Sus scrofa: one gene and its partner. The protein of the gene in region 2 purifies or fractionates together with the protein of the main gene of each other region. This does not show direct contact. Links are inferred from orthologs where the notes say so. Each region holds a gene or a part of one and is shown on either strand. Other genes may lie near its edges.

What was found.
Region 1: the proteins of UBQLN4 (region 2) and GJA1 purify together in Homo sapiens (affinity purification with western blotting; 3 studies listed by BioGRID). This does not show direct contact. The link is inferred for Sus scrofa from reciprocal best matches to the Homo sapiens genes UBQLN4 and GJA1.

Annotation. Positions count from the first base shown.
Region 1 is NC_010443.5:40,999,116-41,003,607, forward strand, and holds the start of GJA1 (gap junction alpha-1 protein), read right to left. Parts: upstream 3,015-4,492; 5' UTR 2,850-3,014; intron 1-2,849. UniProt on the Homo sapiens protein: Gap junction protein that acts as a regulator of bladder capacity. A gap junction consists of a cluster of closely packed pairs of transmembrane channels, the connexons, through which materials of low MW diffuse from one cell to a neighboring cell.
Region 2 is NC_010446.5:93,986,133-93,989,942, reverse strand, and holds part of UBQLN4 (ubiquilin-4), read right to left. Parts: intron 1,505-3,810; coding exon 1,279-1,504; intron 177-1,278; coding exon 37-176; intron 1-36. UniProt on the Homo sapiens protein: Regulator of protein degradation that mediates the proteasomal targeting of misfolded, mislocalized or accumulated proteins.

The DNA of each region.
Region 1 (4,492 bases), on a different chromosome or scaffold from region 2:
GAAGCTCAAAGGGAAGTCAGAACAGGAAAGGTGGAGTAGAAGGTATTAATCACTGGTGACTTTCCTATCATTCCCTTCCCTCGGGTATCATGTACAGAGGCTCTGAGGCTCAAACCAAGCTACACCTCTGGATATCATCAGAGAAATGAAGGAATGCACCATATCATGAGTTTTCCATCCTTCTCTACTCAGGAATTGAAAACATCTCAGTAACAAAACAACTCTCAGTATCTGAAAACACACCCTTTCGGATGCTTGCTTGGAACTTTGTTTCCTGGGAAGGGCCAGCAATGTAGGAATTGTACTGTAAAGGGTGAGGAATTGAGTGTTTGGGGCAGCTGTGGTGATCAACTATAAAAGGTAGTAGAAAAATGGGAACATGTTTAAACAGTGAAGAGAGTAGAATTAAAGCATTATCAAAGCATTTTCCAAGCAAAGGACGGGTGACAACCACACCCTGACTTGGAGAACTACTAAGCACAACACAAACATCTTGCCACGACAAAATGTTTTTCTACCATTGCCATCGTTCTGGCAACTCGGCCTACCTAGAAGAATTACTCTTTCCCTGAAGTATTTTCTACCTAAGTGGCTTATTTCTATTTTAGGGACAGGGCTAATTTAATTAAATCTCTATTACTACAGGATTTTATTTTCAAGAATCCTTGTTCAAAAGTTAGGCTTTAGGAAAAATTTTCATAATCTACTCTTCAAATTGCCTCTTCATTTTAGACTAAATTCAAATGTGCCTAATTTTCAGAGGGTGAGATTAAGCATCTTCTTATTACTAACTTGGTTTGGAAGGCAGAAGAAATTAAACCCACCTCCAAATGCAACAATGTCTATTTTTCCAAGTTTATAGTGCTCCTCTTTGTACTCTGGGAGTACAGGCAACCTTAGGATAAGGATGAGGTTGCTCAAGGAGGGCTTTTGATAAACTTTATGGGAGATGCTCTGTAAACATCTGGAGGGCTAATCAGTAGGATACTGTGGTCGATCCGCTGCTAGGAACTCAAAAGTTGAATTTCCAAATTCTGTACTGATTTACTCCTGGACATGTCATTAGGTCTTTACTCATTTCATTACGTGGCTTCCTCTGCGCTCCCCTACCCGCTCCCCACCCCCGGATTCTTAGGAAATTTCGAGAACTTACTGAAGAGTTACAAGTGTCATTTAGACACATTAATTTCCAAGGTACTCAGGTTTCCTCGTCATGGCTTACACACTAGGATTCAACAGGTTTGGAAAAAAAGAAAAAGAAAAAAAGGGCACTGCGGATGGCGGTGAGAGAAAAGGGAAATTAGATTGACACATTTAATTCAATTAATCATTTGCTATTCTTTTACCATTCGGCATGATGTCCATCTCCTTCAAACCCACCTCCACCGCTCCCACCCCTTCCCTTCCAGTGGCGGAACTCAGACCTGCACTGGGTTTAACTTTTAAGCATTTGAGGGAAATATCCGCAAACCTTTCCAAAACCTGGAGGCCGGGGCAGCCCAGGAGCCGGGGCGAGCCAGGCGGATGCTAAAATGGCAGGAGGCACCCCGCGCCCGCCCGGCCCCAGGCCCCCGTCCTCCTTCCCCAAAGCTTTCATTTTTATGTGCTTTTGAGCACTCTCTGGTGCAAATACTTCAAACTGTAGGGTCACAGCAAGAATTTAAACTAATTACTTCAGTCCCTGGAATTAGAACAGACAAAATCCTTACCGGGCACGAAAATGCATGGCTGCATTTCAGGCTAAAAGAATGTGGGTTACTCACAAGAGCATGTAAGAAATTGAACCTTTAAAAATGACAAATCGTCTTTATCTTTGCCTCCTGGCAGCACCCTGGCGGCTCAAACTCAAAAAAGTTGCCCCAGAGCTCTTTAGTGTGTGGCAGGTTCGGACAAGCAGAAGGTGGTGGCAGTGTGTTTGTGTGTGTGTGTGTGTGCGCGCTCGCGCGCGTGTGTGTGTGTCGGGGTTGGGGGGGGGGCGGTAGCTCCCTCTAAGGCGCTGTCTTAAGAAATTTCGTTTCATATTCTCTCTAGGAGCCCCTGTCTTAGGAGACCGTTTTGAAAATGCACCCTGACATGCACTCTTTTCTAAACTTCTGTTCTCGCCCTAACTTAACGCTTTGTAAGTAACGAGCAGGCAGGCATTCAAGAGATTTCACCTCCTGAATTGCCAACGTGGTCGAGTCAAAGGTGGCTTCCCTGAGGGTCTCAAGATTTTTCCCTAGTGGCGGCTAACACAAAGTTAACTCTTTACTGTTGCTTTAAGAACCTCAGCATTACAACCCGTATTTTTACACCTTTTTGTTTACCGGGGGAAATTCTACGAAGAGACCACGTGGAAGTCAAGTAACCGCAAGGTCTTAACAAAGCACTTTGTTAAGAAGTCTGCTTTTCAAGGCTAGAGAACATCAATCAAGATTTCCATATGAAAAAGCACAAAGCGTAGAATTCTATAGCAAGCACTCTAGGCATCTTTGCACTTTGATTTTTTTCGTTGTAGCCAGTCAAACCCCCAACCTAGGCCCCCCAAACCACACCCCACCCCAAAAGTTACAAAGCGTCTAGACTATTACTAATTACCAAAAAAAGTGAAATTCTACTCTAAAATGAGGAACCAACCAAATATCCAGAAAGGTATGAATCTTATCTACCTGTTGCATTATTAAAAGATAACTTTTTAACAGTCAAAAAATAAATACCGTAAGTTCCATTTTAACTTTAAAACTAGACATTTCAAGTTCATCATTCCCTTTATATCATATCAAAGCTACATTTAACACTTTAAAAAACTTTAGCAAAGTTTTAATTGTAGAAAAAGAAAGAAATAGGTAAAGTCCTTTTTGAAAACTTACTCTTTCCCTTAAAAGAAGTGAAGTAGGCACGCCTCAGAGGATGAAGTAAAATGAAAAAGCAAGTTCAGGCACTCAGACCTGTCTATTTAAAGTTTAAAAGTCTGCTGCTGTTTGGTACTTTCCTCACTCCTTCCCCCTAATGAAAGAAAAGTGCTGATACCTCGTAAAAGCTTTTTTCTTACTTGGAGCACTGAGCTTTTAAAAGTTTCAAGCCACTGACTCAACAAGGAGGAGGGGCTAGGAGAAAGGGGTGGGGAAGAGGAAAGGCGGGCGGGAGAGTGGCGAGGAGGCCGGCAGCCGAGAGGGGTGGGGCGGGCGAAGAGGCAGAGGAGTAGCTAGGTCCAGATGAAGTCCAACTTTAAAACTGCTGACGAGAGACATGAAATGGCATTAGAGACCTGAATGCCATTACTTGTAGTTACTTCTTACAGTAACAATTACGGGTTTTAGTTAGTGCTTTTTTCACCCAAAGTCCAGGGATAATAAAAAGTAATGTATTTTATATTATTACTACCTTTTCTAAGATTTTATTTCCTGTAATATATGTATATATTACACTAAATTAAAGTGGTGGAAAAGTGTACAGCCAGGGCAAACTTCCTATTGGCCAAGGTGTGTGTAAAGGTGGGTGTGAGTGAGTTATTTGATGAGCTAATTCCTCCCCTCTTAGTTTAAAGGGACAATTAACAAAGGAAATGGAGATGGGATTGAGAAATTTGAAAAACGAACATTTTAGGATGGTATGCCCATCCCAAATCCACCTCTCAACTCCTTGACTGCTTTAAATTTCATTCTTTCCCACAGTTTTGCAAAAAATATATATATTTATATTCATAACTGTATTATAATACTTTTTGACTGTTAAATCTTCCTATCTGACCTCTACCAAATCTCTGGGGAACTGAAAATTTATAATATCCTAGCCCCATTCATGCCAAAAATGAACTCTCTTTTGTAGTGAAATGTCAGGATATTTTTTATGGAAAATTCAAATGTTAAGGCCCGAAACTCTCAGCTTTCCTTGAGACCATCTCTCTCCTTAAAACCCACTGGAGAGTTTTCTGCTGCTGACCACAGAGATCTGGGTATAGTTTTTATGTGCTTTTCCACCACTTCCAGGGCCCTCCCTCTTCAACAGTCTGCACTAGGGTTTATAACAGCCTGAGTCATGTGTCCTCAGTCTCAGAGTGGCCGGGTCCTTTGAGGTCTGTTCAGAGGCTACACTAGAGGGCTGTGGTAGGAGAGTTCCTCATAAACTGGCTTCAGTGATGCTCCTGGGGTTGGGCAGGGAACTCTCTTGGGCATTATTCTCTGGAAATAAAGCAAACTCATCCAGCGGGGATACTCCTTACTAATACAAATACTAGGAGGAAAAAAAAAAAACAAGTAGGATAGGAAGTATTTTCTGATAGATACCTTTGCCTAAATTTCATTTCATTGAAATGACTAATAAGGCACTTTTTGAAAGGTTGTAGTTTTAATACACAATTTTGCTCTTTCATTTGCTGGCTATTCTGTTTCTAAGGGTACATTTTTCTTTATGTTAAGGAAGAGGAAAAAAGAAATAGAAGTTGTACTCTAACTTTCAAGTCTTCAAGCTTAGCAATCCATAAATACTCTTTTGCTCTTGTATTTATAGTGTC
Region 2 (3,810 bases):
CGGCCCCAACACGCTCCCCTCATGCCAGGTCCATACCTGAGCAGCAAAGTCAGGGTTCTGGGCAAGTGTCTGCATCATGCTGCGCATGTAGGGGGCCGATATCACGTTCTGCATCAGCTGGGGGTTCTCAGAGATCTGCTGGAGGAGGGCCTGCATTTCTGGGCTGTTGAACATCCCTAGGACAAGAAGGAGGAAACCAATAAAACAAGAGAAAAGGGGTCCAGGTGGAAACCAGATGCCTCACTTCATCTACCTCACTTCAGACACTGAGTGGTTACAAAACACAGAAAGGCAATGGTGAAACGGGCACCCAAGTAGAGGGGCAGGGGTCCAAGTCTCTCTTGACTCCAATGTCACCTCACCCTGCTTTGGCCTGGCTCCTTCCACACCTACTTTCCTAAGGACAGGCCAGTTGCAAACTGGGTCTGATTCATGCCCCTCTGGACTGTTCCTGCCACAGGTTCAGATGATGTCAGAATTGAAAGGATCTGACGAAAGATCACCTAGACCGATGATTTTCAAATTTGTCTTAGCAGCAGAGACCCTGTCCTCAAACCAAGTCTCTCTTGGAAACCAAGTATGTCAGTGGTCTGGTTGGAGCTGGGGCAAGAGGCCTGGAGCCTTTCCCATTTGGTCTTCTCTCATCCTGGAGATAGTTCAGGCCCCTCAGGACTCAGAAGTACAATTTTAAAACCATGCATTAGGTTCAAATCCCTTATTTAGAAAATAAGCACACAGAGAGGAAGAAACTTTCCCAATCAAGACGTCTCTCATGGTACAGAGAAATCAAGGCATCTACCACACATCCTTAGGGCCATAGGTATGTATAGTCATAGTCCAGATTAAACAGGGCATCTCCCAGGGTTGAGCAGTGCACAACCTGCACTTCGGTACGAGGCAGCTCTGCATGTCCCTCTCCCCCAGCCTCACATCTACCTGTCCCGATTCCTCTCCCACACACCCCCTTCCCAATCTGACCCACTTACAATGGAGAGTACCAGTGGTGTTGAAACAGCTTATGAGGTGGGGCCTACTTTATTCATGAGCCATTACTGAGGTTACTTCTAGGGACAGAAGGACGGGGTCAGAACCAACCCTCACCCTCTGAGGGGTGGAGCCACCACTCCAGGCTGCAGACCACCCCCCACCCCACCCTGTGGCTTCAATACAGTCTCACCTCTGTCTTCGATATTCTGGAGCAGTATGAACCCCATTCAGTCCTGGGACAGAGGGACTGCCCTGGTGACCCCACTAAGCTCCTTCCAACCTAGGACATACCTGACCCCAGGCTAGCCGCATTGATCCCAAAGGGGTTCGAGACTGTCGGGTGCACCTGGCTGGTCCCCGATCCTCCGGTGCCCTCCCCACCGGACCCGGGGGCCTGGGAGGTGGGGGGCGAGGGGCTCCAGGGGTTAGGGAGGGGCTCTCGATTCTCAGTCCGCAGAGGCTGGGAGGATGAGCTGTCGGAGTTCCCGGCCAGGGAAGAGAAGGGATTGTTGCCAAACTGGGAGGAGGGAAAGGTTTTGGGTTAAGGACTGAAACAAATCAGGGATAAGGGCTAGGCCCTTTCTTTCCTCTCACCTAATAGCCTCCCCTACCCCAGGAAAGGGAGAGAGATCTAAGACCTTGTAGTCCTCAGGTCAATTTCTGACCCCACGATAGGCAGCTTCACCCTTGTCCTGCAGAGTGGGAGCTGGCTGATGCTAATGACTGGATAACTGAACCCCTCAGATACCTGGAAAGGGCCCATCTCTCCTGCTGGCTCTGAATATTTGGTTTCTAACCTCCTCTATGCTCTCCAGTGCTTTACACATACCCTTCCTGTTGTGTCATGAGATATTTGTTTTCCTTGGTTCTTAAGAGGCAGAGACAACGCCAGACTCACCTTTGGACCCCTGGCCCCTGACACTAGTAGGTGCTCAATAAGTAATGACTGGCTTGATGGGACCTGGCTCTCTACTCCAACCCTGATTTGTCTCCAGCTCTCCCTTTTCCAGCCACCTTGGTCCAAGACTAACTGCAGAACCCTCTCCCTCACCCCCAGGTCCTCCATGCAGCATTCTGTCCATCCAGACACACAATGGAGCCCCTTAATGTGACACATATCTGGCTGAACCCACCTCCGTAGGTCTTCTCCTCCTTCTGTTGCTTCCTCCATGTAATCTCCTCTTTCCCCAACCCTCCCTGCCTATCTCCTCAGCCTGTCTGCTTCAGTGAAACAGTCCCCTCAGCACCAGGCCCTGCACCGTGGTACCCAGGATCATCTCAGGGTCTGTACCCGCTGTATGGTGGGCTGCCCAAGCAGCACCTGAACCTCCCTCCTCTGGGCCTACCAGCACCCAGGAAACAGCTCAGTCCAAGGTGGGTGCTGGCTGAGGGAGTCCCAGACCGCATTCCCTTGCTCAGCTTCCCTCTCCTGAGTTCCTGGGTGGTCCTGACCCAAGCAGGGGGTGCCTGAGCAGCCTCGGCCCCTCCCTGCCATGGAGTTTCACATCCAGTCTTTTCTTTCTTTTTTTTTTTTTTGCTTTGCTTTTTAGGGCCTCACCTGTGGCACATGGAGGTTCCCAGGCTAGGGGTCGAATCAGAGCTGTTGCTGCCAGCCTACGCCACAGCCACAGCAATGCCAGATCCAAGCTGAGCCTGCGACCTACACCACAGCTCAGGGAAACACCCGATCCTTAACCCACTGAGCAAGACCAGGGATTGAACCCACAACCTCATGGTTCCTAGTCAGATTCATTTCCACTGCACCACGATGGGAACTCCCCAGGCACGTTTCCTGTTTATCCGAAGTGGGTCATAGGGACCAGGGCTGATGAAGGACTCTCCTGCTCTGAGCTGCAGTTCCTTCGCCTTAGCAGATGCTTGTTCAGATAACAGGGCTTGCAGGCTAGGGTTTATGCACCAGTTTCGGTCTTTGTCAACATTTCAGATTTCCTGTTCTGGTAACTTGCCTAGCACCCAACCCTACCTAGTTCTGGGTCCTGCTTTGCTCTTCTTGGTTCACCCTAAGGATTGAACCTCTTTCCCTGAATTCCCTAAAGTGATAACGGCTGCCATTTATTGAGCACCTACTATGTGCCTGAATCAATATCCCTTTTTTTGTTTGTTTTTTTAGGGCCAAATGTGTGGCATATGGAAGTTCCTAGGCTAGGGGTCAAATCGGAGCTATAGTTGCAGGCCTACAACAGCCACAATGACGAAGGAGCTGAGCCACGTCTGCAACCTGCATCACAGCTCACACCAATGCTGGATCCTTAACCCACTGAGCAAGGCCAGGGATTGAACCCACATCCTCAAGGTTACTGGTTGGGTTTGTTACCACTGAGCCACAACGTAAACGCCCTACAACATCCTCAAAGTGTGATCCTAGGACACAAATAGTCTCAAAGTGTGGCCCTAGGACCCCTGCAAGGTTTAAAAGCCATTTTTTATAATCCTAAAATGTGATTTGCCTTTTTCACTCTCATTCTCTGGAGTGGAGTTTTCCAAAGCCTACATAATAGGTGACATTGCAACACAACGAATGAAGAAGCAGATCTGAGCATCCAGCAGTCTTTTTTTTTTTTTTTTTTTTTTTTTTTTTTTTTTTTTTTTGTACGTTTACGGCCATACCTGAGGCATTTGGAAAATCCCAGGCTAGGGGTTGAGTCAGATCTGTAGCTACCGGCCTACACCAGAGCCATAGCACTTGGGATCTGAGCCACATCTGTGACCTACACCATAGCTCACGGCAACGCTGGATCCTTAACCCCCTGAGCAAGGCCAGGGATGGAACCCACATCCTCATGGATACTAGTCAGGGTCTTT